Linked DNA regions of Notamacropus eugenii. The protein of the gene in region 1 purifies or fractionates together with the protein of each later gene. This does not show direct contact. Links are inferred from orthologs where the notes say so. Each region holds a gene or a part of one and is shown in the gene's direction. Other genes may lie near its edges. The genes, in order: COPG2, COPB1, COPB2 and COPE.

Region 1 (6,890 bases):
CACTCACACTCAGTACTCCTATCTTCTTCATATATGCATCACTGCTCACTAGAACAACAGAAGAGTCCATGAACTCCCTCTTCTCACAGAACAGCAGGCGTGTCCATGTGAAAGGACACCAGCCACTGCCCCCAGACCCACTCCTCATATTTCCCACAGAAACAGCAGGTGTATCCATGCACTCAACCACAACCGCATCCATCAAGTCTCAGACAGGACCACAGTAGTCAGCCAATCAGAAAGCAGCAGCACCAGGATGACCAAGCTGGATGTGGACCCCAAAACAATAGAAGGGACTTTCCCTAAGTGGGCACCTATGCAGAAATAGCAAAAGCTGTCCTTTAGATGAACTTATGACATAGAGAGGTTTATTATAATATCATTATCATACATACATAACCCCTTATGGGTTTTTTTCTGTAGCATTGTGAGTAATCGCATGTGCAGTTCCACTGAGGTTGGGAGCCCTCCCTTATTATCTAATCCCTTAATAAACTCCTCCTGCCTTTTTAATATTCATAATTTTTGTTACATAACTGCATCTTTACCCTATAAAAATCCATCTTGCTTTCCTAAAGTTGATAGTTCTTCTTGGAACTTAGCCCACTTAATGAGAGGCACCAATCTCAATAAATGCCTATACTTGGATGAGAGGTGTTTTGACTGAATTCTTTGAGATGGTTCCTCCACAACACATCCGTAAACCACAACACTATCATTTTCCCTTCTTCAGCCACAAGAACAACAGAAAATCACAACTCATGCTGGTCTCCCGCTGATGAAGAAGAAATTAAAGACTGAACCCAGGACTCCCTTTCCTGTAGCAATATTGGAGGATGCTATACCTAAGCGGGAACAGTGGTACAGGTGAAGCCCCAGCACTTTCCCTTACTAAGCCTCCCTTGTTCATGTGTTTGAGCACTGTGTTGGATTTGGAGCCTGGTACAGAGGCCAACTAGAGAGAAAGGTGACTCTGGAACTGCTATACCATATAGCACAGTAGTGGAGAGTGCTGGGCCTGGAGTCAGAAAGACCTGGGTTCAGATCCAGCTTCAGACACTTACTAGCTTTGTGACCCTAGACAAGTCACTTCACCTGTTTGCCTCAGTTTCCTCAACTGAAAAATAGGGATAATAATAGTACCTACCTTCTAGGATTGTTATGGGGATCTAAGGAGATTTATAAAGCACTTAGCACTTACCCTAGAACATAATTGCTTAATAAATACTTGTTACTTTTGTTCAACCTCCTTAACTACTTCCCTTCCTTTTCTCCTTCTTCCCTTCTTTTCTTCCGCCCTCTATTCCCCTTTCCTTCCCACCTTCCTTTATGTGCTCATAAGTCCTATAGGGCCAACTCCTAGTAACACCCTCTAAGATTCCATAAACCTCTTTTCTTTCAAACGCCATTAATCATAGGCTCCTTTCCTCTCTAAAACCCAGACAATGGAATTAACTTTTAACTGACAGATTCCCTTCTATCATGACCCTTGACTCTGGCTCCACTAAATGAATTTTCCCTGTTAAGGTTTTCCACCAATGCTGATTTCAAGGGTGAAGCCAAGTTTTCAAAGTTCCATGCCCTAAAGAAGCAGCAGGAAAAGTATCCTGAACTTTCCTTTGTTCCAGATTTTAGGTCAGGTAAGAAGAAAGATGTCGAAGTTCTCCTCCCTCTCTATTAAAGCATTGTTTTGGGGGCTGGATGCAAGTAAACACTAGAACTTGTTTAGAGAACAGGTAAAAAGAGGTTTGATGAATGTCCAGAGTAAACTTGCCTGTCACTTGTTCATACACAATGGGGATCAAAGCAGCAGAAGATCAGGTTCAAATCCCAACTTTATGACTACTACCTGTATGACCTTGGACCAGTTAACTCCATTTGTAAAATAAAGGAGTTGGACAAGATGGCCTCTGAAAGTCCTTTTAGCAGTGTGAAGTTGCTATGGCGTTGGACTTGGAGTTAGAAAGTCTTGGATTCAAATCCCAGCTCAGATCTTTACTGGCTGTGTGACCACCTGCAAGTGACTTAAACCTTTTTGTGCCTCAGTTTCAAGAACTGTAAAATGAGAAAGTTGGACTTCTTGAATTGTAAAGTCCTTTCCAAGCTCTAAACCTATGATCCTATAATCCTTTCACCTCTAAATCTCCTTTAATCTCCAGATTCCAAAGGCAAACTAAACAAACCTTTGAGATTTCCCTCTTTGCTCAATGAAGAACAATGTTCACACAAATCAGTGGCTGTCATAGAATTGAGGATTCATCTAATTCTATTTGGCCTCAGAGAGATGAACTTGGGTTGAAGTTATAGAAAGCAGATTTATGAGTAATGGAAGGAAAAATTTCTTTACAATTAAAACTGCTCAAAAGTGGAATGGGAGTTTTCCCCTCACTAGAAGCCTTCAAACAAAGGCTAGAGAAGGACTCCTTGGGATTCTGTTTCAGGTAGGGGTAAAACTAGACAGTCATTGGAGTAAATCTTTTCTGATTCTTAAGACTCTGTGGTTCTGAGTGGAGACGTATAGATAGGCAGAGGGGGAAAGAAGGGCAGTCCAAGTGGGTTCAAAGCTTGGCTGTCCCCCATGCCTGAAACACTCCTTACTTCTGCCTCCTCCTAGCTGACTTCCCTCAAGTTTCAGCTAATGTCCCACCTCCTGCAAGAAGCCTCTTCCAGTCCTTCATCTTAGTGCCTTCCCTCGGAGACTGCCAAATAATTTATCTTGTCTCTATCTCACATGTACTTAGTTATTTGCAAGCTGTCTCCCACATCAGACAAGAAGCTCTTTGAGAACAGGGGCTGTTTTCTGCTTTTCTTCGTATCCCTAGCGATGGTTGGGGATACACAGGTACAGAATGCCTGTCATATAGTGGGCTCTTAATCAGTGTTTTTTGACTAAGGGCAGAGGAGTAGAACGTACAGAGAAAGGGGGAGGACAATATGATCTCAAGAATATCTCACTGATGTTGACTGACAAATCATGGAAAAGAAGGGGGTAGAAATGAGCCTCATGACTTGGGAATACAGAGTGCCTCCTTCCTCCTAATGCAGAGTCAGTAAGCATTAAGTGCCTTCCATGTGCTAAGCGCTGGGGATATAAAGGGAGGCAAAAGAACAGCCCCTGTTCTCAAGAAGTTTACAACCTAACGGGTGGAGGACAGCGCGCACACAAATACAGACACAGCAAGCTATGTACAGGATAAATCGGACAGAATGAGCAGAGAGAGGCACTTAGAATCAGGAGGGCTGGGAAGGACTTCTGGCGGGAGGTGGGCTGGCAGCTGGAGGGCAGCATCCCGGAGGTGCAGGGACCTTCTCCTCGGTCGGACGGTCCAAGCGCCCCACTCCCGGAGGCACCACCTTCTCACGGCTTTCTCTGCTTGCCTGCAGCCGCAAGGGAAGCGAGGAGCAGACGGAAGATCTCCGTGGTAACCTGGGAGCCCCTGACCCTCGCGACCCTCCTGGAGGAGAAGCCCACGCTGACCGTGCCCTTGCCAGGAGAGAGCCCCTTCCGCTACGGGAGGGCCACGCAGTGGTTCATAAACACGACCGCGGTTCCTGACTGAGTCACGCGAGCTCCCGAGGCGCGGCACCCACTGCCACGGTCGGGCCCGCACTCGGGGCCTCCGCGTGACTAGGAGCGCCAGCCCAAAGGACCTCGTGTGTCTGTCACTCCGCGGCTCTGCAATGGGAGCTGTCGGTGCAGAATCGACCCACTTGTGCTCTCTATACGCGTGTTCGAGTGCATCTGTGCGCACGGAGGGAAGGGAGTGTTAGCACGGAGGGGAAGGCGTGACTACCGGCAGGGCGGGGCGGGGCTGACACCGCGCGGCAGGGGAAAGGGGCGGGGTTTCTGCTGGAGTGACGGGCGAACTGCCCAGCCAGCTGGAGGGATGGGGGCCGGGCTTCCGGTGGAGCCTGTTCCTCTCGGCGGTGTCGGCTCCGACGGTTCCGGTTGGCCTAGGGATCAGTTGTCGCGGGAGATGATTAAAAAATTCGACAAGAAGGACGAAGAGTCTGGTACACGCAGGGACCTGGGGAACGCCTCCGACCCCCACTTTCCAGCGCTTCCTCCTCGTAGTGCGGGGGCGGAGGGGCGGGGGCCGCGCGTCTTCCTCCCCCTGAGAGCTGGACGGAGGGAAGGGGGGAGGAGCGCGCGGGGCTGAGAGCGGCTCGGAGCTGGAGTCCCTCCTCCTCCACCAGGGCGAGTCCGTCGCGTGGCCCCTCCCCCAACTCGAGACCCTGCCTTCCCCCTTCTCCCCCTCCGGGTCCGGCCGCGTGCGCCGCGCCTGGCCTGCCCCACACCACCCGCCCCGCCCCTCGGCCCCGGCGCACGGGAGCCCTCCCCTGGCCGGCCCTCGGGCGCATGCTCCCGCTGCGCTGCCCCTCGCAGCCCTGCCCCTCCGGCCCCGGGGGTTGGTGGCGGAGAGGAGGCGGGGCCATGGCTGGAGGCGGTCGAAGTGAGCAGGGGAGGGGGCGAAGGGGCGGCGTGGGAGGGGGTGGGGGGCGAGGGTAAGAAGCGTGAGAACCCCCGGATCTCTGAAACCTAGGGCCGTTGCTCCTTGGTTCACATTCTCGGGGGGAAGCGAGAGTTCGTACACGCCCGGGGCCCCGACTTCCCTCGTGGGCCGTCCAGCCCAGCTCCGGGCTTTGGGGCCGGGGAAGCTGAGGGTGGGAAAATGGAAGGTTTAGGAAGGAGGGACGGGATCGCGGCTGGATTTGAAGGGCCCTCTCGTGGAAGACGGATTAGAACCTCCCCGCTTGCCCTCAGACCCAAAGGTGTCTCTTGTCAGGAGTAACTTGGCGTCGGTGGAGAGGAGTTGCCCACGATCAGGGCTGCCCCAAGTGGGCCAGGGCCGGCCTAGGACACGGTGGATCTCCCTCTTGGGGGACGTGGAGGGCGCTGGAGACCCCGGCCCCCAGCTGAAAGGGGGCAGACTCCAACACCTGGTGGCAGAACGGCGCCTTTGACCTAGACTCCCGGGGGGAACTCAGGCCTGCATCTTGGCTGGAGCGGAGGCGGGGCCTCCTGACTCTGGGAAGTTTCCCCTCAGTTTTCCTTGTTGCAAAGTTACTGAAATGAGTACTTAGTTAAAGAGCTCAAAGTGCTACAACAGTTTGATGCATGCTTGTCACAAAGGCCCATGGAGTTGGAAGGGACCTTGAAGCCCGTGCAGTCTGTCATGAGTCTCATTGAGAAGACCCCCTGCCAGCTAGACCAACTCCTTCATTTTTAAGATGAGAAAGTGAGATATGAATAGCGACAAGAAGCTCACGGATCTCACTCTCTTCTTTTGGATGCCTTCAATGGATAGGAAGTGCTTTCAGTCTACACCTAGTAATTCCTACTTATTTGATAGTTCCCAGTTTTGTCCCAGAAAATCTCAGAAGAATTTGTTCCAGGAAACTTGTTTTATAGCTTGGGCTTTCAGCCCCTACCACCTTACCCTAGGGCTATAGGGGCATACATTTAAAAAATGGAAGGGATATTAGAGGCTATCAAATTCAACCTCCTCTTCCTCCACGCACACTTTTTACAGAAATAGAAACTGAGTTACAGAGAGGTCACACAAGTAAGAATCCCAGCTAGGATCTGAACTTTTGTGTTCCTATTTCAAAGCCCGGCACTCCACCATTTACACCATAATATAATTCTTATTTAAGTCAGATTTTTGGTAAGTGTTCCAAAGTCGGGAGGTATGTCAGCAGAGCTAGACATAGAACCAAGGTCACTTCATTTCATCTACCAGCAACTTAGTAATGCCTGCCATTGTGGTATCCAGATGCTCAGGCTCTTATAAAAGTTTTCCTGAATTTGTTTCGATTTTTAAAATTTTGTTTCCAGTGTTGCTTAATTGTTGGTAAATGAATTTGCCTGTGGCTAGTTCTCAATACTATTTTGTTTTCTTTTTTAGGGAGTGGCTCTAACCCTTTTCAGCATCTGGAGAAGAGTGCTGTTTTGCAGGAGGTATGACTTAGAAGTATATTGTCTTTTATGTTTGTTTTCCCCAGAGTGGGATCAGAACATCTCTAGGAGACATTGGAGACATTCAGAGTTTATGTTGTAGTTATCATGACTGAAAAATGTTTGCCTAGTATTGAATTAAAGCATATAATGAATGAGATAAAATAATGCAGCCTAAAGGAAAAAAAGAACAATGTTTTGTCATTGGATGTTAGAAGAACATAAATATGCTGTGATGCCATGAAAATTTTGGTATGAAAGATGTCAAACAGGTACTTTGTATAAAGCTGCTGACAGAAGTTATAAATGTTAAATTTCATACCAGCTTTTTGAGTTACCTTAATATTGTGATTCTTATTTTGAAAAATGAAATTCTGAAATTAAACCGAAGGGAAAGAGTGGAATAGTATAATATAGAGACATATTTCCTAGTTCATTTTTCTAATATAATAAACTAAATGCTTCATTTAACTAATATTACTTAGACTTTATGATAAAAGAGTTTGACAACATCATTAATTTGTTGAAGACAATTTATTGAGATTTGTGATTGAGAAGGAAAAGGTACTATGTATTTGCTTTGCTCCCCCAGGCTCGTATCTTCAATGAGACTCCTATCAATCCAAGACGATGTCTACATATTCTGACCAAGATCCTTTATTTACTGAACCAGGTAAATGAAACTTAGGGAAGCAGTTCTTTCTGGGGCTCAGTTTTCCTAATCCATAGAATGAAAGGGTTTGACTAGATGAACTTTAAAGATCTCTTTGACTGCTTAAGTCCTATGGTTTTTTATTCTTTCAAAATTTGTCGTTTTTAAAAGTAAGCTTTTTTAAAATCCAGAAAGTTTATTTTAATTGAATAACAAGATTGAAAAGTCCTTGAGGGCAGAGACCATATTATGTACCTTTTTGGTATTCTCCCATATCAG
Region 2 (6,893 bases), on another chromosome or scaffold:
AAATTTGCTGAACTAAAAGGGAAAAAGAATATATCATCACCTTCATTCTCAGCCCTCAAATAAGGACGACAGGGCAGTGAAGCTGGAAATCTCTTGACCAGCTGACAGGTGTAGTTTGGAATAGAGGGTCTGGGGTGGGAGGAAACACCCCAATTATCTGGGACCCATTCCTTTAAAAATTGGCATTTTTTCTAAAGGAAATAGCCATCATTCTAGTGAACATCATGGAAAAGTAGAATATGGCACATGAGCTGTGAAGGAAATTAGGTTGTCTGAGAGGCAGAGGTAAGGTTGGGAACATTTAACAATCCTGGGGAACAGATTCTGCCATTCCTCAGTCCATGGATATTTGGGTAGTTAAGAGTTTTTCAATATTATAAATAACAGTACTACAAATTTTTTGTACTCTTGGGTCTTTTCCCTTGTCATTAACTTCCTTAGAGTATGTTCCCACCAGTGAGATCACTAGGTGAAAGGATATAATCTCTAGTTTCTGTTCTTAAACTTGTGACCCACCCCTTATCACCACTGTGCGAAGTTAAACTCATTTTAATTTAGACATAATAAAACACTAGTAAGAAAGTCAGTCTTGTAAAAAAAAAAAACCATATGGCCCAAAGACCAGTACCAAAGACGGGGATTATTTGCTAGTTTGCCTATAATAATCACTGACGTCTAAGTAGTTTTATAGTTTAAAAAGGATTTTGCTTACAACAACCTTAGGAGGTGGGCGGTACAGGTTTTGAGAGTCCTATTTTTGAAATGAAGAAACAGGTTTTAGAGAAGTGAAGTCAAGCCAGCGAGTGTCAGGTGAGTAATAGCACCACTCCCATCTCCCCTCAGACTAATGGCAAACATCCCAAGACCCTGAACTTAGGAGCCTTGGGAATAGCTAGCTATGCTTCCAGCCCAGTGCCCTCAGCTATTTTCCTGGGAAACAGCTCCTGTGGAGAACGGGTCAACCATCCCCACCTTCCGCCAGCCTAGCTGAAGCAGCAAGGGCCCTTGAGGGAGAGATAGGCAGCAAACCACCACCCTGATCACCATCTCCCCTCAGGCCTCAAGGAAACAGCCCAGAATTCTGAGACCAAGAGCCTTGGGATCAACAATTCCCTCAGCCATTGGCCCCTATGAGATGCAGCCTGGTCATTGTTCCTCCTATGGTCACAGCTCCTGCCTTACCGTGTGTTGCTAGCTAGCTGCGTGTTGCTAAGTGAATTGACCTTTCTGGATCTTAGTTTTCCTCATCTATAAAATCTATAAAATGGGGATAATAATATCACCTCCCTTACAGATTATGAAGATGAAGTGACATAAAGCACTTTGGAAACCTATGTAATCTATGCAGCACTGCGTTCATTATTATTATTATTATTTATATGTAACATATTGACTAGCATGGTGGGAAGATTTGAAACTGACATTTAAGAATTGGTTGAAAGTACTGGGCTAATTTAGCCTGAAGAAAAGATTTAATAGGATTTATCATAGCTGCTCATCAATACTGTCTGAAGTTATTTTGCCATGTGTTATAGGGAATGGATTTAGGGGTTTTTTGACCCCAGAGGGCAGAATCAAAAACAATTGTTGGAAGCTATCGAAGCAAGTATTTAAATAAATACTTCCTAACAAAGCTATGCCGAAGGGAAAGGGACTACCTTGAGACATGATCTTCCTTGAAGGTCTTCAAGCAGAGGTTGAATGACCATTTCTCAGAGATCTTAGGTCTTAGAGTTGGAAGGAACCTTGGAAATATACCTTGGAAATGACTCCAACTGCCTTGTGAAAGGAGGGCAACAAGGTGGCACAGTGGAAGGTGCACCAGGCCTCAAGTCAGAAAGACCTGAGTTCAAATCCAGCCTCAGACACTTACTGTGTGACCTTGGGCAAGTCACATAACCCTGTTTGCCTGAGATTCCTCATCTGTAAAAACAGCTGGAGAAAGAAATGACAAACCACTCTAGCATCTCTGCCAAGAAAACCCCAAATGGGGTCAGGGAGAGTGAGACATGACTGAATAACAACAATGATAGGGGAAAAAGTATGAAAACTTCCAGAATTGGAACAAATTTTGAGTGTTTTCTTTAAAATCTCAAATGAGTAGACTTGGAGGATACGATAGAATAGGTAATAAGTACCTGTTTGATAATAAGATGACTAGAAAGGGCTGATACCTTGTGGGAAACAATAAGTTTTGTTTCCACAAGCTTTGGGTGATCAGGATTGTGACCTAGCACGGTTAGGTCAGAGGTCAGAAACTTGTGCACAGGCTTGACGAGCTGTTTGTGGCAATGGACAGTGTCAAGGGACATCCAAAATTTGGAACAGTATAAGAAGTTTCCATTATTCTGAATGTATTGTAGTCTTCCTATAACCCTACATCCAGCCTCACTACTCCAGAGCTATCTGAATCCAGGAACCAGATATTCATCAAGATGACTGGAGATGACCCAGGATGAGGCAACTGGGGTTAAGTGACTTGCCCAAGGTCATACAGCTAGTGAGTGTCAAGTGTCTGAGGTGAGATTTGAACTCAGGTACTCCTGACTCCTGCTGTATCCATTGCACCACCTAGCTGCCCCTAGGAGAGAAAAGATAAAACTCTTGGGAAAGGCCTTATGTAGTAGAGTGCCAAGGAAGAAAGGGATGCTAGGCACCTTCCAAGAGACTGCCTGGGAGGGCACAAAAGCTTCTCAAATTATTCTGATAGTTTCACATCTGCCAAGGGAATAAAACCTTTGCCTGAAAGCATTAATCCAGTGTGATCAATCACTGGCAATTCTCACACAGGGTCAGCAAGTCTGATGGCAACAGAAATATACTCCATGCTGCTAATTCTGTCCTGGGGAGGACGGTGTTGGGTGCTGAGAAGCTGTAGTAATAGGAGAAGGGAGGGCAGCACGTATCAGGCCAGGTGAGCCCTCAATACCACCAGCAGTCCTGGAGAGACTCATGGAGCCATGACTAGGGAATGCTTACCAGAGATAGAGAAAAGCAAGATCTGACCAAGTGGTGAGGCTGTCTCTAGCATATACTAAGAATTTTATGAAAATTCTTTGAGTTTTCTACTAAAGCAGGAAAATTCCAGCTATCATGAACCTTCTTGCAACAGCTACTGACAGGGTACCACTGACACAGTAAGGCGCTATATAAATGTTAGTAATTACTATTATCCCTATTATTTCACTCAACCACTGTGCAGAGCCTCCAGGACAGGGACCATCTTTGCCTGTTACTGTATCCCCAGTGCTTAGCTTAATGCCTGGCACATAGTAGGTGCTTAGTAAATGTTTAGGAAGTGACTGATTGATTGCTAAGGGCAGAGGGTACAGATATGAAAAACGAAACATTCTCTGCCTTTGAAAGAGCTTACTGTTACACATCCAGTAGCAGAGAAGAATCTGACAAGATATAAACAGGAAATATAAGGCTTGTAGTTCTGTTGTGTGCCACTCTCCCTGACCCCCTTTGGAGTTTTCTTGGCAGAGACACTGGAGTGCTTTGCCATCTCCTTCTCCAACTGAAGAGGACCCTGAGGCAAGCAGGGTTACATGACTTGCCCAGGGTCACACAGCTAGCTGTACTGACTCCAGGGGCAGCGGTCTGCGCCCTGTGCCGCCCAACGACACGATACATTGTGTCAATTATATGCTGTATGTTGCATTACGTTACATTATCGTTACTCTTGCTATTCTCAGCTCCGCTCCAGGTCTCTCCGGGGCCCGGAGCAGGGCTACGCCGCCAGGATCCCAGGGACAGAGGCGCGCTGAGCCTAGGGATGCGTAGCCAGCCTCGGCACCGCGCAGCCGCCCAGCAGGGGGCGGGGATGGGGCGGGGGCCGAGGACGTAGGAGGCGGGCCTAGAATGTGGGGGCGGGGCCTAGGACGTGGGAGGCGAAGCTGAGCGGCGGGAGGAGGCGTGTCCTCTCCGGGCCGCCGTAGACACTAGGTGGCTTCGGTCTTCATCCCTTCCACGTCAGCCCGGGACTCTGAGGAGCCGGAGCCGCCGCTGCCGTTGCTGCCGCCGTCACCGCCCCGGGCCGGGTAGCGGGTAGGAGTCGAGGCTAGGCCCGAGTGGGGGCCGCGCCGCTCCGCTGGGAAGGGGCGGGAGGGCGGCCCTCGGCGGGGTCGCGTCCCTGGGCCTGCTCGGCCCTGTCCTCGGAGCCCTCCCCCCAGGCCGGGCAGGGGGCGGGAGTGGGGGAGGGGGGACGCCTGTCGGGCCTCCGACCCCCGACCCTGGGGGTGCTGACACAGCCCGGGAAGCCGGGGCTTGACCTGTAGCCCTTCCTGCCTGGGCCGGAGCCGCCCCACCCAGCCCCCCCTCCCCCGTTCCACCTTGGCTTGCCCGTTCCCCACGGCCATCTCCTGACCCCGGGCTTTTCCCCCGCCCGTCCCCGCCGCCCGGAATGCTCTCCCTTCCCTTCTGTGCCCCCGGCTCCCCTCGAGGGGAGGCTTTGCAGGGCAGCTCTTCCTGGCGCTCCCTGGCATTCCCCTGGATGGTGTTTGCAGGCAGCGTGCCCTAGACTGGCAGCTCCTGGAGGAGCTTTTATATCCCCAGCGCCCGGCATACCACAGGCGCCTAATAAATGCGCGTTGATCGACTGTCCCTGTCATCCCTATAATGATGTCCCATCATCACAAAGATATCCTTTGGCCCTTTAGCTCTTAGAAATCTCCCCAAAACCACCCTGAAGTGGGTAAAGAAAAAGGGGGGATAGGCAGAAGAAAAATTGCCCCCATTTTACCTTGGAAAGGAAATGTGAGGGACCTGGGGTCTCCCAGCTTGTAAGGAAGGAAATGCAGGTGTCTCCCAAACCCCCTCAGTGGCCTGGATCCTGATGGACTCTGCAGGATGGGGGGGCAGGGTCTGGCCTTGTCCCCAGCTGCTGGGCACCTCTCTGCAGCCTAATCTGAGGGCTGCCAGTCTCGAAGGCTAGACTGGGCGGAAACTTGTTTTGTACAAGGGATGCCTGGCGCACGTTTAGGTGACCCTGTATTCATTGCAATGAAATAACTGCCTTGGAATCTTAGACTACAATTATTTTTAAAAAATGGAGACTGCCTCCCCACCATGCCCAGGCTGGGAGGGCATTGGCTGCACACAGGCTAGTCCTGGCCTGGATCAGCCCAGAGGCTTTGATTTTGCTACTTTTCCAACTTGGGTCACTTTGTCCTCTCTTTAGGCAGCCAGGTGGCTCTTCCCCCTCCCTCCCGAAGGCTCCCATATTGGTACTGATGCCCAATTGACTTTAGTGAGCTAAACATTTCCCAACTCAAGCAGTACAGCATCTTCAGCTTCCCCAGTCATAAGATTCACAGACATGCGATGCTATGCCAGGCCAATCTTAAGATTGTTTTAAAGTTATTAAGCAGACCTGAGTGTATTTTCGTTGCCCATGTTAGAATTATGTTTGTTGACTTATCGAAACTTTTAATAAGTAATGATATCTTGTACTTATTCTAGAATTTCTGATACCTGTCATCAAAAATACTTGCACTGTGGAGTACCCATAACCAAACACCATGACTGCTGCAGAAAATGTATGCTATACGTTAATTAACGTACCAATGGATTCAGAACCACCATCAGAAATTATCTTAAAAAATGACCTTGGTAAGTGAAGGATGGGAAACCTTGACATGAACATATTTGTTTATGGAGGTAATTTATAATTAGAAACATAGATTTTTGTTTGATTTCAATACACGAGATCCATGGTTTTATCTTTGTGTGGCCCGCCATTATCAGCATAGCTCACAATCCTACTTAAGGTTTATTTCGTGTACCATCTTCATGAGTTGTGGGACAAAGTTTGTTACACTTTGGCTAATTTTCTGGGAATGTGTTTTTCTGAACCTTGCTAAGCTGGTTTTCCAGTGATAAAAAGCAGTTTTTCAGAACTTTTCTCCTTGGTAAGCCAGAGCTTGAACCTTGTTGACACAGCCTTTGTGAATCTATGGTCATCATCACAACATGAAGAGGCATAAAAGAAAGGTTAATGTAGGGGATTTTAATCCAGAGTTTTTATATGAAGAAAACCGTGTATAAATAGGTTAGTAAAAGTGCTTCTGAATATTCTGTGATTATCTGTCACTAAAAATGAAAACCTCTTGTGCTAAGACTTTGCATGTATTATTCTTTGTTTAAATTTCCAGCACCTACATGGTACATTGCATATATCAGCACTCACCAAATATTTTTTAAATTGGATTGAAATTTGAAAGTAGGACGTGGTCTGAATAATGCAAAGAGAACATAAGAGATGGGCTGTGCGATGAGACATTTGCAAGGTGCTTTGCACAGTGCCTGGCACAGAGTAGGAGCTATGTGAATGCTTGTTCCCTTTCTCCTCCCAAAAAACACAACCTTGATTTTTAAAGGGCTTCTCTTCTTATTAAGAAGTGCTGGGTAATTGATGGTGTGTGTACAAGGTTGAAACTGTCTTGGTCTCTTTGTGAGACCCCTGTAGGGTCTTCTTATATTTCTTTAGGTAAACCAAAGGAGATGGACTTCTCACCTAAGATCCAAAGATTTAGGGCTAGAAGGAAAGGTAGCAGTAACAATAATTATAACAGTAAGTGGCATTACGCAGCAATTGACAGAGAGAGAGAGAGTGTGTGTGTGTGTGTGTGTGTGTGTGTGTGTATGTGAGTGTGTGTGTGTGTGTGAGGGGGTGTCCGTGGGTGTAGGTGTGTGTGTGGGTGTGAGGGGGTATCCATGGGTGTGTGAGTGTGTATGTGTGAGAGTGTGTGAGGGGGTGTCCATGTGTGAGTGTGTGTGTGTGTGTGTGATTTGATCCCCAGTGAAACATTGTTAGATGGGCAGCTGATAGGTATTATTATCCCTTCCTATAAATAAATAAACTAAGACTTAGGTTATCTATAGTAATACAA
Region 3 (7,384 bases), on another chromosome or scaffold:
AGGATAAGAAAAATGATTATTAATAACCAAGGATTTGGAGATATACAGAGTTCTCCCTTTTTCTATAGTCCTCATTTCAAAGCTCAGTCTCTTGAAGGATGTTACTGATAATGAGACTGAATTAACTTCCTCAGCATTGGTCAGGTCCCACCTAACCTCACAAGGAATTTAATGTAAGGTGGAGAAGCCCACTGTGCTCCGCTCAGGTTTGGGGGGGAAGGGATAAATTCTTTCATTAGATTGCTCAAGGCTGGGGGTAATTGAGAAGTAAATGACATAATCAAAGTTCATTTGCATAGGTCCAGTCCCTCATCATTAATATTCTTTCTCTTATTACTTGTTAACCAGTCAGAGTTGATTGCCACCCTCGGGAACACCCACTTTTCCAAAGTCACATAAACCTTGAGGGAGCACACCACAGTGACAGTCTGGCATTCTAGAGTGCCACTGACCTCTTTTATTAAAATGTTAGCATTATTATTAAAATGACTAGTTAGCCAGAAATTATGTCTCTTGAACTTTTTAAATGTCATAGGGAGTAGGTGGGAAACTACTAGAACCAAACATAAAGGCATTTTCCCCAAATACGTGTATCTTGACTGTGTCCATGCTATTCTCTTTCAGGTAGGGCCATCAACTCCACCTCTTTTCTATGAGAACTTTGGGCTCTGCCCCTAGCACCATCAAGACTGAGTTTTTGCCTTGTCTTATCTGGATCCAGGCTTCCATCTCATTTCTTATCTCTATACCATATCAGAATGTGTACTATACCTTTCTATCCCCTCTTTATGTACTGTATTCTCTATTAGAATACAAGCTCCTTGAGGACAACTCTTTTTTTGTTTTTATTAATATAGGGACACTTAGCACAGTGCCTGGCACATATTTAACCATCAATAAATGCTCTATCTATGGAAGTGTGTGCATTCTATCTTGTTAAAATGTTCATTTCAACCACAGTGAAAGAACAAGCTTTCCTTTTTTATTGTGTTCAATATCTAGTACATTGTAAAGCTCTTATTAGTTAAAAGTAGCTATAAACTAGGAGAGTATTTAAAGTATGAGTTATATTTATGATGGCCAGAGTAAGCATCCTCTACAAAGTCAGGCAGAAGCACTGTGGGACAATAAACCTACCAATGGTGTTTAGATCATTGCTGAGGGACATTGCCAAAAAAAGATTATGAACTAAGAGTTCAATACCGTCGTCAGTCAAGTAATACCTTATATTTACCTAGTAATTCAGTTACCAAATGAATGCAAGTTTATCTCATTTGATCCCTACAACCCTGTGTGCACAATTCTATCTACATTTTAGAGGTGAGAAAACCGAGGTTCAAAGAAATTGGTTAAGTGAAGTGCCGACAGATGCACAGCTAGTCACAGCAGCCATGCTCCTGACCTGGGGCACTTCTGATTACACCATACTACATGTTTAAAAACCATCAAGTTATCTATTTTCTCCCCAAAGATCATTATCGTTGCTCTTCCTTTGTTCCCAAAGACTGGGAGAGTCTTCTCAAAGCTATTCAGAGATGAAGATTCTATGCTCTGCCTCTGTCAGTCACTTGTCCTTTCCTATGAAACCCCAAATTTCCAACATTTATCTGTTTCCATCAGTGGAATGGATTAGATACGTAACACACAGTAGTAAATGACCATAGTAATCTAGTGTCCCAAACTTTTGGGACAAGAAAGCACTATTTGACAAAAATTGCCGGGAAAACTGGAAAACAGAATGGAAGACTCTAGGTATAGACCAATATCTCACATAGTATACCGCGGAAAGGTCAAAACGGGTACCTGATTTAGACATAAAGTGTGATACCAAAAACAAATTAGGAGAGCAAGGAATAGTTTACTTCTCTGATCTATGGAGAAGTGAAGAATTTATGACCAAACAAGAGACAGAGAGGATTACTATACAATGGATAATTTTAATTATATTAAATTAAAAAGTTTTGGCACAAACAAGACCAAATGCCATCAAGATCAGAAGGAAAGCTGGGAAGAATTTTTTTTTTTTACAGCAAGTGTCTCTGATAAAGGCCTCATTTCTCAAATATATAGAGAACTGAGTAAAATTGATATACCAAGTCACTCTCCAATTGATAAATGGTCAAAGTATAAACAGAAGAAATCAAAGCTATCTATACTTATATGAAAAAAGCTCTAAATTGCTATTATTTAGAGAAATATAAAATTAAAACAATTTAATACAAACTAAAACATCTCACACCGATCACATTGGCTAATATAACAGGAAGGAAAATGATAAATGCTGTGCAGGATGTGGGAAAACAGGGATACTAATGCACTGTTAGTGGAGTTGGAACTGATCTACCAATTCTGGAAAACAATTTTGAACTAGTTTCAAAAGGTTATGAAACTGCATATCCTTTGATCCAGGATTACCAATAAATAGTAGGTCTATAACCAGAGATTAAAAGGAGGGGGGGAGGGGCGATTACCTATTTGTACAAAAATATAGTAGCAAAGAATTAGAAATTGAGGAGATATCCATCAATCAAGGAATGGCTGAAAAAGTTGTTGTATATGATTGTAATGGAATACTATTGTACTGTAAGAAATGACAAGCAGGGTAATTCTAGAAAAACCTGAAAAGACCTACATGAACTTATGCAAAGTGAGCAAAACCAGTACATTGCACATAGTAACAGCATTATTGTATGATGACCAGCTGTGAATGACTGGGCAATGCAAGGATCTGAGACAATTCCAAAGGATTCATGAAGAAAGATGCTACCCCCTTCAGAGAAAGAACTGATGGAGTCTGAATGCAGATTGAAGCAGACTATTTTTCACTTTATTTTCATGTTTTTGTCTGTTTTCTTTCACATGATTAATATGGAAATGTTTTGCATAACTGCACATATATAACATGTCAAATTGTTTACTCTCTCAAGGAAAGGGGAGAGGAAGGAGAGAATTTGGAACTCAAAATTTTGAAAAATGAATGTAATTGGGGAAAAAAGTAAAATATTTTTTAAAAATCTGTCTCTTCTTGTACAAGGAATTTGTATCCCACTTTTAAAGCCCCTGGAAAAATAGTTATCAAACCACAGCCCACATCATTCTCTTCTCCCCCCAAAAAAACCTTTGATAGAATAAATATCAGAGCTAGTGACAGTCAGAGCTACCCCCTATCTTTTACAGAGTCAGAGACTGAGACCAACAATGAGAATGCAAGGTGATTTAGTGGAGTTCCGGATTTATAATATTATAATGTATATTATGCAATAATAACATATAATATATAGTAATTATCACAATAGCTCAGTTACAAAACTTTAATCAAAACTTCGATGGAAAGCACTTCTGATACATTATCTTAGCATCTCACATTAAAGAGGCTGCTCTGGCCTCACTATCTCTGGGTTAGGCTGTTTACTCCTCCCCTCCTTCCCTGCCCCTCTCCCTTCGTCTTAGGTACCCTGTGAAACTTGGGGTTATTTTTCATTCTACTTCATCAGCCCAAAGCTCCAGTGACTGCTTTCTCCTATTTTAGAGGGCCAGTAAGTAGCCCCCCAATTCCATATAATCACTTCACATACCCGTCTGGGTTGCCAAGAGTTTTACAAAGGCACATTTACTTCATAGATATAGTAAGAAAAAAAAAAGTACATTTTCCCCAACACTTGTGGGTAAAGTTTCTCCCTCCCCTCACCTTAGTTCGGTTCCTACACACAGATGAGCTAAGGCTGAGAAGTCAGAAGTCACCAAGGATCTGAAGCAGGATCCGCACCCCCCTTTTCTCTTCACGAGCGCCACCCGCCCCCTCCCGATGCAGAGGTCGTGTGGCCCAGGGCAAAGGCTTCTGCCCTTTCTGGCCATTGATTTTTCTCATCGGTAAAAAGGCAGGGTGGGGAGGAGGAGCCCGGGCGATCTCTAAGATCCCCTCCATCTCAACATCCTCTGCGGGGAAGCGGCAGTCGGGCCCTGAGCCTGGGCCTCATGGGCTTCTTCACAGCCCCGGTCGCTCCACTGGGCCGGGCTGCCTTCTTTCTTAGGGACAGGAACAGGAAGGGCGCCTGGCGGGGCACCAGGAAGGTTTTCTTCCCGGTCTTCCCTCGCTCCTCTGCTCAGGAGGGGCGGGCTCCCCTCAGCCTGGGGCTCCGCGGGGATGTCTCTCCTCCCGGACCCCACGTTCCCTGCACTGCCGCGGAACCTCTGGATCCTGGCCCAATAAGCATGCAATCCGGCTCAGGGAGACCCCCGGGCTCCGGGTGGGTTGCCAAGGCAACGGACGGAAGTGAGGTGTGCTGGGTGAGGAGGAATGTGAACCCCGAGCCCCGGCGCCGCGAAAACTCTCGCGAGGTTAGTCCCGGCGTTCCCGTGCTGAGACGCCAGATCTCGCGAGAGCCGGCCTCCCGGAAGCTCCACGTCAGTCAGTTGGTCAGTGTTCTGCCAGCGCCAGCGTCAACCCCGAGCTAGCGGGCCCCGGGACCCGGCATCGAGCGAGGGAGTTCGGCGTCGCTGACGGAGCCATGGTGAGACTTTGGCCTTGCAGGCTTCAAAATAAACGAAAGCGCGAGGCGGATCGGCGCTGGCCCTGCAGGGGTTGCCGTGGCCAGGGCAGCTCCGGAGATCTCCTCAGGGCCTCCTACGACGGGAGAGGGGGAGGGGAAGAGGGGCCCCGGGAGCCCTGGGCTTCTGCCGCCCGGTCCCCACCCGGCTGTGTGCAGGAGTTACGGGCCCAGGTGTTGTGGGACCACCGATTTCCGAAGGAGGGATGGGGCGGGGGACGGACCGCGAGCGGGAGGCGGGGCGGGCTGCAAGTGGGAGAAACGGGGTGTCGGCTTCTTTCCCTCGTGGGTGAACTCTTTGACCTCTCCGAGACGCAGTGTCCTTATACGTGAAGTGGAACGATAACACCTGTAGCCCCTGCCTCGCGGTGTTGTTCCTAGGACCAAATGAAGCCACTTGGGCACAGTGGTTTGCAGACCCTTAAAGCCCGGTATCACTGTCAGTCTGCTGCTGCTCTTCCTAGAGATGACACCCAGAGAAACCAGGACTGTGCTGACTTAGAGACTGGATCGTAATGGCTGGTTTTCGGGGCGGGTCATTTCTCAGGAGATGAAAGTGACAGTCATTGTTAGCATCAAAGTTGTACATTAAAAGCGTTCATTTAGATGCTTTTCACGTTATTTTCCAACTCTACGGTCATGATACAAAGCTGGAGGTACTTGATCTTATTATACAGCACTTAAAAGGTATAAAGTGAAGTAAAGAATGTCAAACGTTTTTATGTATATAAAGGACAAATTAAGTCTAATAAAATTGTCTCCAAACCCTTTTAACTAGAATTTTATAAATCTAGAAAAGTTGAAGTGTACATTACTAAAGTGTTTTACAACTATATTTTTTAAAAAGTTTGCTATATAAAAATGCCTATTATCCATTCCTTATATTTCTAAAAACAAAAGTTGTCTTTTTAATGTCACTTGAGTATTCTCATTCTCATAAATATCTTTACAAGTATTTGGTAGTGTGTTATTATATTCAGGGTTTCCTCAAAAGTGCACATTTCTTGCCTCTTAGGAAATGTAAAGAAGTCTTTCTGCCAGGTTGAATTATTTTTTTCTTTCCTTTTCCCATCACAAAGATTGATGGACTCAGAATAATTTCGTTATGAAAGAATTTTAGGAAAAAATTAATCTTTCAAGAGGAGGGGATGGAGGTCAGAAAAGGTTAAATGATTTGTCCAAAGTTACACAGTGAATAGCAACAACAGAGGTAGAATCATAGAGTTTGAAGGGATGTAACAAGTCATCTAGTCCTGTCCCTGAATCTCCTCCTACTGTGGCAAGTCAGCATTCAACCTATGTCTAAGCATCTTTAGGTACACAGCATTTAGTACTCCAGGAGACAGTCTACTCCAGTTTTAGAGAAATCTGATTTTTAGGAACTTCTTTGTAAGGTTGGGCTCATTCTATATAATTTTACCCACTGGTCTTTGTTTTGCTCTCTAAAATCACTCACACGATGGTTTTTTAAATATTTGAAGCTAATTTGTGCTAAATCTCCTCTCTTGAACAGTTTTTTCAATAATCCCATTTATGGCATGGTTATGAGTCCTTCTACCTCCCTTTTAGCTTGTCAATTTCCCTCTTAAAATGTAGCATCTAAATATAATAATACAAATGTGGTCTAACCAGTGCAGAGAGACTGTTCCTTTTTGGTTATGGAGATGTTTAAATACCACTTTTTTATGAAGCTTCCCTCAGGATGTCATGTGACATGTTATTTTGTATAGACATCTATGTAATGCATTAATTGTGTTTTATTTACCTATTAGACTATAAGCTTTATGAGGGCATGGGCTTTGTCTTAACTGATCTTTGTATCTTCCTTTGTTATCTAGAAAAAAATAGATGCTTACTGAAAGCCAAGTGTTACTAATGCCCAAGTGGACAAAGTTCCAGGGTAATTGTATAGTCAGTAGCATCAGATGCCGCAGAAATCAAGGAGGTTGAAAACTAAGGAGAGGCCATTGGCAGTTCACAGGTGTTTGGTGACATTCAGAAGAGTAATTTGGGTTAAATGACAAGGGAGGGAGTATAGAGTTCGTGAGTGATGAGGAAGTAGAGGCAGAGATAACAGTTCTTTTCAGGAATTTGGCAGTGAAAAGACTTTAAAAAAAAAGCAAGCCAGGATGTAGCTCAATGGAGCAGCAGCATAAAGAGATCATTTTTTAAAATAGGGGAGAATTAACATGTTTGTAGGTAGAGGGAAAGGAGCCACTTGGGGGAATTGCAGAGGGAGGCTGGAGTGGATGGAATCAAGAAAGCACAGAGAAGTACTAGAAGGTAGAAAAAGTATGTGAAGAAAACAGGGAAAGCCCAAGATAGTGAGGAACGTATGGCAGTGGATGTTTTGAAGTGAAAGGAAGGGAATGTTAGGTTGCTTGAAGTTCTCTAGAGAGGAGTAACTCATTGTCTCCTAAACGATCCTATTCTACTTGGGGATAGCTCTTTTGGTAGGTTTTTTTTTTCTGTATGTCAAGCAGATATCTACCTCTCCGTAACTTCTTATCAGAACTTTTTATTCTGTCATTTTGGGCCAAAAAGAACAAGGCTAATCCATCTTCCATTTGGCCCCCTCTCCCAAGTAATCTTATCCGCCACTAATTCTTGTTTGGGCTAAATATCAGTTATTTCAACCACTTCTCAAATAGCATGACCGAAGCTTTTCATCATACTGTTTGCTCTCCTCCAAGTTACATCCCAGGGTAGCTATAGTGGTGATTGTGATTATTGAATATTAATTCAGAATTTTTAGGATAGTAGAGGACTGAAAAAGAGCAAATAATGTCATTCTAACTTTTCAAAAAAGGGAATAGTCTATATTTTGTAACCTGAAT
Region 4 (7,564 bases), on another chromosome or scaffold:
TTTTGTCTTTCTTACCTCTATGCCTAGAACATACAGAAAGGGTTTATTCAATGTTTGTTGATAGACTGATACCAATGCACAAGTAAATATACATTAAATACCATCACACAAATGATCTCTCCAAAGTTACCAATGGGCCTCTTACTTGCCAAATTCGATGTTTGCAGTCCTCATTCTTCTCAAACTATCTGCTGTATCTAACATGACCTCCCTTTTCTCCTGGATATTCCCTCCTGGTTTTCCTCACACCTGTTAATCATTCCTCTGTCTCCTTAGGGGGCTCCTCATCCATATCACACCCTCTAACTATAAGAGTTCCCTAAAATTCCATAACAGGAAAACAGATTTAAAGCTGAAAGGGACCTCAGGAGCTATCCAGTCCAACCCCCTCCATTGGCAGATGAGGAAGGCTACAAAACTTACCCAAGGTCATGAATGGTCATGAACATGAGAAGTGGGATTTGAATCTGGCTTAGGCCCATTCCTACTCTCAGTAGCTAGGTGATGCCGGGCCTAGAATCAGTAAGAGTGAGTTCAAGTCAGTCTCATATGTCTAATAGCAGTGTGTCCCTGGATAAGTCATTTAACCTCTGCTTACTTCAGTTTTCTTAATCATAAAATGGGGATGATAATAGCCCCTACCTCCCAGGGAGACATCTGTAAAGCACTCAGCACAAAGCCTGGCACACTGTAGGCACTTACAAATGCTTGTCTGCCTCCTCCCTTGGTGGCTTCAACTCTCATGGGTTCACCTGTCACTCCATGCTTCAGTTTTGTATCACCACCTGCCTATTTCAGCCTGGACATCGTAAAGACATCTCAAACACAACATGTCCAAAACAAGACTCCTATTTCCCCTCCAAAGCTTTCCCATTTCTGTCAAAGGCACCATCATTCTTCCTGTCTTCTAGGTTCATAATCTCAGTGCTTTCTCTGACTACTCATTCTCCCTGACCTCACAGATCCAATTAGTTGCCAAATCTTCTGTGTCTGCCTCCACAATGTTCCTCTCCTCTCTACTCGCACAGCTACGACCTTCATTCAGGCCCTCCTCACCTCATGCCTGTGTTATTGCCTAAAAACTAATGGTCTGCTAACTGGTCTCCCTGCCTCAAGCCTCTCCTCATTTTAATCCATGCTACACACTGGCTAAGTGCATATCTGACCACATCTCCCTCCTCCTCTCAATCAACTACAATAGCTTCCTATGCTTTTGGAATAAAATAAACGCCTTCTTTAAAGTCACTTTTTACGCCCTTCACAATCTTGCCCTAGTCTTTCCATCCTCACCAGGTGTGACTCTCCCTCCCAAACTCTACAGCAGCCACACCGCTTTTCTGTTGCTTACACATGAAACTCAATGTCCTGTCGCCTGTGCCTGAAACGCAATCCCCTACATCTTCACTTCAGAGATGTCCTCTCTTGCATCAAGACAGTTCAAGTGCCACCTTCTACATGAAGCCTTTCCTACCCTACACAACTGACAGAAGCCTCCCTGGCAAACTGCCTTGTAAAGAATAAGTCTACATCTATCTTCTTTATATTCTGCATTACCTTAGCTCTTTATGAAGCAGAGCTTATTTTAACCACTGTATTTTTTTATCCCTAGAACAGTGCTTGGCACACAGTAGACACTTAATGTTTAGTTGGCTTTTCAGCTGTGTCCGACTCTCTGTGACCCCATTTGGAATTTTCTTGGCAAAGATAGTAGAGTAGTTTGCCATTTCCTTCTCCAGCTCATTTTAATAGTTTAAGTGACTTGCTCAGGGTCACACAGCTAGTAGGTGTCTGAGACTGGATTTGAACTTGGGAAGATGAGTCTTACTGACTCCAGGCCTGGCACTCTATCTACTGAGCCACCTAGCTGCCCCATTTATTTAAGAAATATCTATTAACTAATTAATACATAACGTAACACTAAGTTCCATCAAGAGAGAGAGTTCTAATAATGGAGGGAAAAGAAAGCCCTTGTTTCAGAAGTGATGTCTGAGCTATGTCTAGGGATTCTGTGAGGAGAAAGGGGAGAGAGGGAGTATGTTCCAGAAATGAAGAACTGCTTGTGTAAAAGTACAGAGGGGTTTAAGGAACAGCCAACACGGCAGTCTGAGTAAAGCAGAGAGCAGATGAAGGAGGCTGCCTTCCTTAATCTGGCACCTACCACCCTCTCTAGTCCTATCTCAATTTACTCCCCTCAATGAAACCTCTGCCAGAGCCAAAATGAACAATTCTTTGCCCTCCAAACACACATCACAGTTTCAACCCTCCCTGTCTTTACTTCAGTTGCTTCCTATCCCTATGCCTGTTCTCCCTTTGTCTGCTAATTTCTTACCCATCCTTTAAAGCTCACCTCAAATACAACATCCTCCAGGAAACTGTTCCTGATAGCCACTCTACTCAATTGTTAACAACCTTACACCCATCAGAACTCATACAGCCCAGTCATATATACTGTGTGTTATAGTTATCTGTGCACATGTCTCCTCCCCTAGCTAGAATATAAAATCCAGTAAGTCGATAAGCATTTATTAAGTGCCTACTCTGTGCCAGGCACAAGAGATACAAAGAAAGACAAAAAACCGTTCCTGCCCTCAGGGAGCGCAGTCTCATGGGGGAGGCAACATGCCCACAACGATGTACAAACAGAATACAGACTGTATAAAGCAGAGATGATCAATTGGGGGAAGACATTAGAGCAGAGATAATCTAATACTGCATCTCCTCCAGTCCTAGAACAGTGCAAATATTTGCTGCATTGTATAGCTCTATTGCAGGGCAGCTAGGGGTACAGTGGGTATAGAGCACTGGGCATGGAGTCAGGAGGATCTGAATTCAAATCTAGCCTCCAACACAGTTACTGGTTGTATGATCCTGAGCAAGTCACTTAACCTTGTTTGTTTCAGTTTCCTCCTCTGTAAAATGAGCTGGAGAAGGAAGTGGCAAACCACTCCAGCACCTTTGTCAAGAAAACCCCAATGAGGTCATGGAGAGTCAGATACACCTGAAATGACTGAACAACTGTAGTCTTGTCTGACCTCAGACAGCTAAAAGGTGCTAGATCTAGATCTGGATCCCATTTCTCCAAGGCTTTTTCCCCATCGTGCATGATACCCTTTGTTACAATACTCACAGTGGACGTATGGAAAAAGAGTAACAGATTTTAATTTACAGTAAATGTTACCTCACTGGAAAGGTGAACATGGCCATACCTGGTGGGCGTTAGCACAAGACAGAAAATGCCATACGGGTCTTCAGACAACTTCTGCAGAATTGGCAGCACAAAGGCAGCAGTCTTGCCGCTGCCAGTCTTTGCACATGCCATGCAGTCTCGACCTAAGACAACAAAAACAACAATAATTGTGACCTTTTGCACACAGGGCACTTTACCAAGTGATTTTTAAATACTTTTTCTAATTTTGTCCCTGTGAGGTAGTGCAAGTGTTATTCGCCCCACCTTCCAGAGGGGAAATAACTTTTCCAGGGCACCCCAGGAAGTCTGCAGCGCAGGCAGACATCCCACAGGACAGAAGCCAGGTGGGTCTCCTGATTGTCGCTCCAGGACTCTTTGCAGGACCAGCTGCTGCCTCGGATAAAAGAGGCCTGGAGAAACCTAAAGCCCATGAGGGAAGAGGGGAAGGAATCAGGAGGTGGGAAAGAGACGCTTTCTAGAGCAAAAGGAGGGAAAGCACTCGGCACAAGGAAGAATCCACAGGGTACCTAGAAGGATAAAGGGCAAGAACTGTGGGGGGGGCAAAGGAGGCAGCAGGGAAGGAGGAAGGTAAATGGGCGGGGGAGGCTGGAGAACTGAGGGTTTAAATGAAATCACCGGGGGAAGCGCTATATAAACGTCAGATTATTATTACAGGGAGCAGGGGAGATGGCAGAGAAAGAGCACGGAAGCTGACGCACGCTGGAGGTGGAAGAAACTGGGGAATGAAAGGGAGGTAGGAGGAGAGGGGATGGAAGAAGGGAGAGCCGAGAGAAAGGAAGCGAGGAGGATGGTAAGAGGTAACAATTCTAGCGCCCTGTAGTCTCATTTTATCCATCCAACAACCCCGAGAGTAAGCGCTGTTATGAATCGACGTTTTACAGATGGGGAAACTGAGGCAGGGGAGGAAAACGACTTGCTCAGAGGCAGATTCGCTGGGAGTGGGGCGTGGAGGCGGGGTCTTCTCATCGATCGCCACGGTGGGGGCGGGGGGGGGCAGCTCACCCTCCAGGATGGCGGGGATGCAGTTCTGCTGCACCGGCGTGGGACGCTTCAGGCCCAGCTGTTTACACTGCGCCACGAGCCACGACGCCAGCCCCAGCTCCGCGAACGCGGCCATGGCTCCCCCGGCTCCGCGGCGGCGGGCTGGTCCTCCCCTGCTGCTCCTGCTCCTTCTCCTCCTCCTGCTCCTCTCCCACAGGTACCCACGCCTGCTGCACCCCAGCACCACAGCGGCCCCCGAAGAGCTCCCCGCGCGCCGGTCCTGCCGCAGTTCCGGAGCGTCACCACGTCCCCGCCCAGACACGCCTCCCTCCTTCCTCCCCCCTCCCCAGCCCCGCCCCTTCTAGTTCCGCTCAAGGCCAGAACTACGATTCCCAGAGGGCCGTGCGGGCGCCGGCTTGCGTCACTTCCTCCTCGTCTCTGTCGACGTGTCGGTAACAAGATGGCCCCTCCGGCTCCCGGTACCGGCCCGGCCCCCGGCGGCCCAGGGGAAGTGGACGAGCTGTTCGACGTGAAGAACGCCTTCTACATCGGCAGCTACCAGCAGTGCATCAACGAGGCGCAGCGCGTCAAGGTGCGTGCAGCGGGCCGGGACGGAGGGCAGGGCGGGAGGTCCGGGGTCCGCGGCGCCTTCCTCCTTCCTCGGCCCCGGCCTAGACCGTGGTCAGGGCCGGGCCCGGGGATTCCTAGCCTAGCCCAGCCTAGCCTAGCCCAGCCCAGCCGCCAGGGCCCTTTAGGAGGGATCTCGTCCAAATCCTCGCGCCCCATTTTGCCGACGGGCAAACTGAGGCCCAGAGGGCGCGGACGGCCGATACAGCGAATTCCTTCAATTCAGCGAATGTTCATGTAGCGCCTCCTACGTGCTGAGCCCTGGGGAGACCCACGACGATGGGACCTGCAGACAGGGTCCTAGGTGCCCAGGCCAACCCCTTCGTTTTACAGGTGGAAGAAACTGAGGCTTCAGAGCCGCTAACGATTTGCGCGAGGTCAGCAGGTAGTAAATAGGAAACGGAGATTCACAGCCAGGACCCCGGACTCCAAATCCAGCCTTCTTCTGGGGGGCGGGGGCAACACACTAAAACTTTGAAATGTTCACCCGGGCCAAGAAAAGGCAGAGACGAAGTGCTCTAGGTAAAGGAGACCTCGAGAGATTGTCCAGCCCCGCTTGTACCTGAATGGTCAAGAATCTCCTCCCGCCCCCAAATTTTATTTAACAAGGGGACATCTGGCCTGCACAGGGAGATCTCTAGTGATGGGCACCTCACTACCCGCCGAGGAAAACAACTCCACCCTTGGACGGTTCTCATTGCTAAGAAGCCGTCCCTCCTCCCAGTTAATGGTCTTTCCGCAAGCCTCTCTAGGGAAGCCTGGTTAAGACTAGCTATAGATAGTCAAGCTTCATTAACCTCATCTGGGACTGTTAAAGAACCTGAGTGGGCTGCCTCAGTAGCTAGGATGGGAGGTGTGGTCAAAAGACAGAGTAGAAATTTTCTGGTAGGGCTCCAAACTTAGATGAGTGTAAACTTGCTGAAAGAGACCTCTAGGTCCAAGGCTGAACCTTGGAGTTTTCTGTCTTCCCCCCACTCAAGGCTTTCTCTCCTCCTGAGAGGGGAGGTGGAAGGGCAACTATGTATTTCCCTACCCAAAGTAAACGGGACCTTTAAATAGCTAAATTGTCTACCTTGGACAGCTCTTTGATCTCAACTGGGTGGAGCCTACCATGAGAGGGGTGTCAGGTAGGAAGTGGTCATTTTTATCCATTAAATGGTAAGTTTTACAGATGATTAAGAAAAAGTTGCCTTGGACTAGTTTTTGGGAAAACCTAAGCTTGGTGCCCTCCAAAATCCAGGCTCCAGTAAGGTATCTTCATAAGGCAAACTTGTAAGTATCAGGTCCCCAGCCCTGTTTTCAATTTAGGATTTTCTACAGGTTTGTCATTTGAACATTTACCAAATTCTTCCCAAAGGTGGCAGGTAGAAAGAAATAGTTTCAAAGGAGCCCAATAGCAAAGGTAATGATTTACATGTTCAGAACACTCTACAGTTTAAAAAAGGGGGAAGGAAAGAACCTTCACATACATTTTGATTTGATTCTCGTAGGAGCCCTGTGAGGTAGGTAGCAGAAACATTATCCTCATCTTTGAGAATAAGTTCTGGGAGGTCAAAGACTATTTCATTTTTGACTTTTTATCTCTAGGATGGTGCCTTACATTCTGAGTTGAATGAAGAAATAGAGGCTTCATCCACTTTTTCTGTAGGAAATCCTATAGAAGTCATGGAACTTGAGAGTTGGAAAAGGCCTCATTGTCCAACCTATATATGAATGGAATCTCCCCAATGACATGCCTGAGAGGCAGTGATCCAGCCTCCAAGTAGAGGGGGAATCCTCCCCTGCTCCAGGCAGTCCATTCTGCTTTCTGAGAGCTGTCATTGTGAGAATGTTTTTCTGACCTCAGTCCCAAATTTGCTTCTCCAGAATTCCAGCCCATTGCTCCTAGTTCTACCCTCTGATGCCAGCTAGAACAACGCTCGTCCTGCCTTCACGTGACAGGCTTTTATGTACTTAATGATCTGAATCTTCTCTTCTTTGGGCTAAACATGCCCTAGTTCCTTCTCTCTGCAGACTTCCCTGTGGAATCTCAGTTAAGACTGACTGTGGGACATCCCTATGATGTCCTCAGAGTCCGTGACATGGATCCAAGGCTCTACACCATCCTGGTTGCCCCCTAATTGGATATAGTACTCCAGATGAAGTCTGATGAGATCAAAACTATGCCCCTCTTAAGGCAGCCCAGATTATCCTGGCTTCTTTTGGCTTCCACAGCACACTGCTAGCTCCTGTAGAGCTAGTGATCCACTTAAACACCCAGATCTTTTTCAGATCAGCTGCTTTTTCTCTGTGCTTCCCCATCTTATGTTCATGAAGCTGAATTTTTGTGCCCACATGCAGGTTTCCCATTTGTTTCAGTGAATCTTATTAGATTCAGCTCAGTGCTCCAGCCTGTTGAAATCCTTTTGAATCCTACTTGTCATCGGAAGTGCCAGCTTCTTCCAAGCTGGGTGTCATTTGCAGACTGGATGAACCTGCCACTTAGTCATTTATCCACACCATTGATCATTGATAAGACTCAGGGCTCCTTCTGCCGTGCTGACGCAGAATCACTGGCAGCCCCTGCTGAATCCATTTAATGTGTTATTTTCAATGCATAGCTTTTCCACAAAAGTGGTAAGAGAAATTTTATCAAAAGCTTTGCTAAAATCTGCATAAACTCTATCCGTTGCCTTTCCCTTATTCACTAGAGACCCTGTCAGAAAGGAAAGTGGGATTAATCCCACGTTAATCAAAGCCGTGCTGGCT

The links.
Region 2: the proteins of COPG2 (region 1) and COPB1 purify together in Homo sapiens (affinity purification with western blotting; 4 studies listed by BioGRID and IntAct, with this or other methods). This does not show direct contact. The link is inferred for Notamacropus eugenii from reciprocal best matches to the Homo sapiens genes COPG2 and COPB1.
Region 3: the proteins of COPG2 (region 1) and COPB2 fractionate together in Homo sapiens (co-fractionation; 4 studies listed by BioGRID and IntAct, with this or other methods). This does not show direct contact. The link is inferred for Notamacropus eugenii from reciprocal best matches to the Homo sapiens genes COPG2 and COPB2.
Region 4: the proteins of COPG2 (region 1) and COPE purify together in Homo sapiens (affinity purification with mass spectrometry; 5 studies listed by BioGRID and IntAct, with this or other methods). This does not show direct contact. The link is inferred for Notamacropus eugenii from reciprocal best matches to the Homo sapiens genes COPG2 and COPE.

Annotation. Positions count from the first base shown.
Region 1 is NC_092874.1:119,742,480-119,749,369, forward strand, and holds the start of COPG2 (coatomer subunit gamma-2), read left to right. Parts: upstream 1-3,882; 5' UTR 3,883-3,887; coding exon 3,888-4,014; intron 4,015-4,345; exon of another isoform or gene 4,346-4,360; coding exon of another isoform or gene 4,361-4,454; intron 4,455-4,550; exon of another isoform or gene 4,551-4,673; coding exon of another isoform or gene 4,674-4,773; exon of another isoform or gene 4,774-5,247; coding exon of another isoform or gene 5,248-5,332; intron 5,333-5,909; coding exon 5,910-5,962; intron 5,963-6,551; coding exon 6,552-6,632; intron 6,633-6,890. UniProt on the Homo sapiens protein: The coatomer is a cytosolic protein complex that binds to dilysine motifs and reversibly associates with Golgi non-clathrin-coated vesicles, which further mediate biosynthetic protein transport from the ER, via the Golgi up to the trans Golgi network.
Region 2 is NC_092877.1:37,925,350-37,932,242, reverse strand, and holds the start of COPB1 (coatomer subunit beta), read left to right. Parts: upstream 1-3,874; 5' UTR 3,875-4,050; intron 4,051-5,463; 5' UTR 5,464-5,522; coding exon 5,523-5,613; intron 5,614-6,893. UniProt on the Homo sapiens protein: The coatomer is a cytosolic protein complex that binds to dilysine motifs and reversibly associates with Golgi non-clathrin-coated vesicles, which further mediate biosynthetic protein transport from the ER, via the Golgi up to the trans Golgi network.
Region 3 is NC_092876.1:327,604,181-327,611,564, forward strand, and holds the start of COPB2 (coatomer subunit beta'), read left to right. Parts: upstream 1-4,375; 5' UTR 4,376-4,508; coding exon 4,509-4,511; intron 4,512-7,384. UniProt on the Homo sapiens protein: The coatomer is a cytosolic protein complex that binds to dilysine motifs and reversibly associates with Golgi non-clathrin-coated vesicles, which further mediate biosynthetic protein transport from the ER, via the Golgi up to the trans Golgi network.
Region 4 is NC_092875.1:66,442,486-66,450,049, forward strand, and holds the start of COPE (coatomer subunit epsilon), read left to right. Parts: upstream 1-4,558; 5' UTR 4,559-4,649; coding exon 4,650-4,781; intron 4,782-7,564. Other genes in the region: probable ATP-dependent RNA helicase DDX49, read right to left, coding at 3,207-3,330, 4,211-4,325. UniProt on the Homo sapiens protein: The coatomer is a cytosolic protein complex that binds to dilysine motifs and reversibly associates with Golgi non-clathrin-coated vesicles, which further mediate biosynthetic protein transport from the ER, via the Golgi up to the trans Golgi network.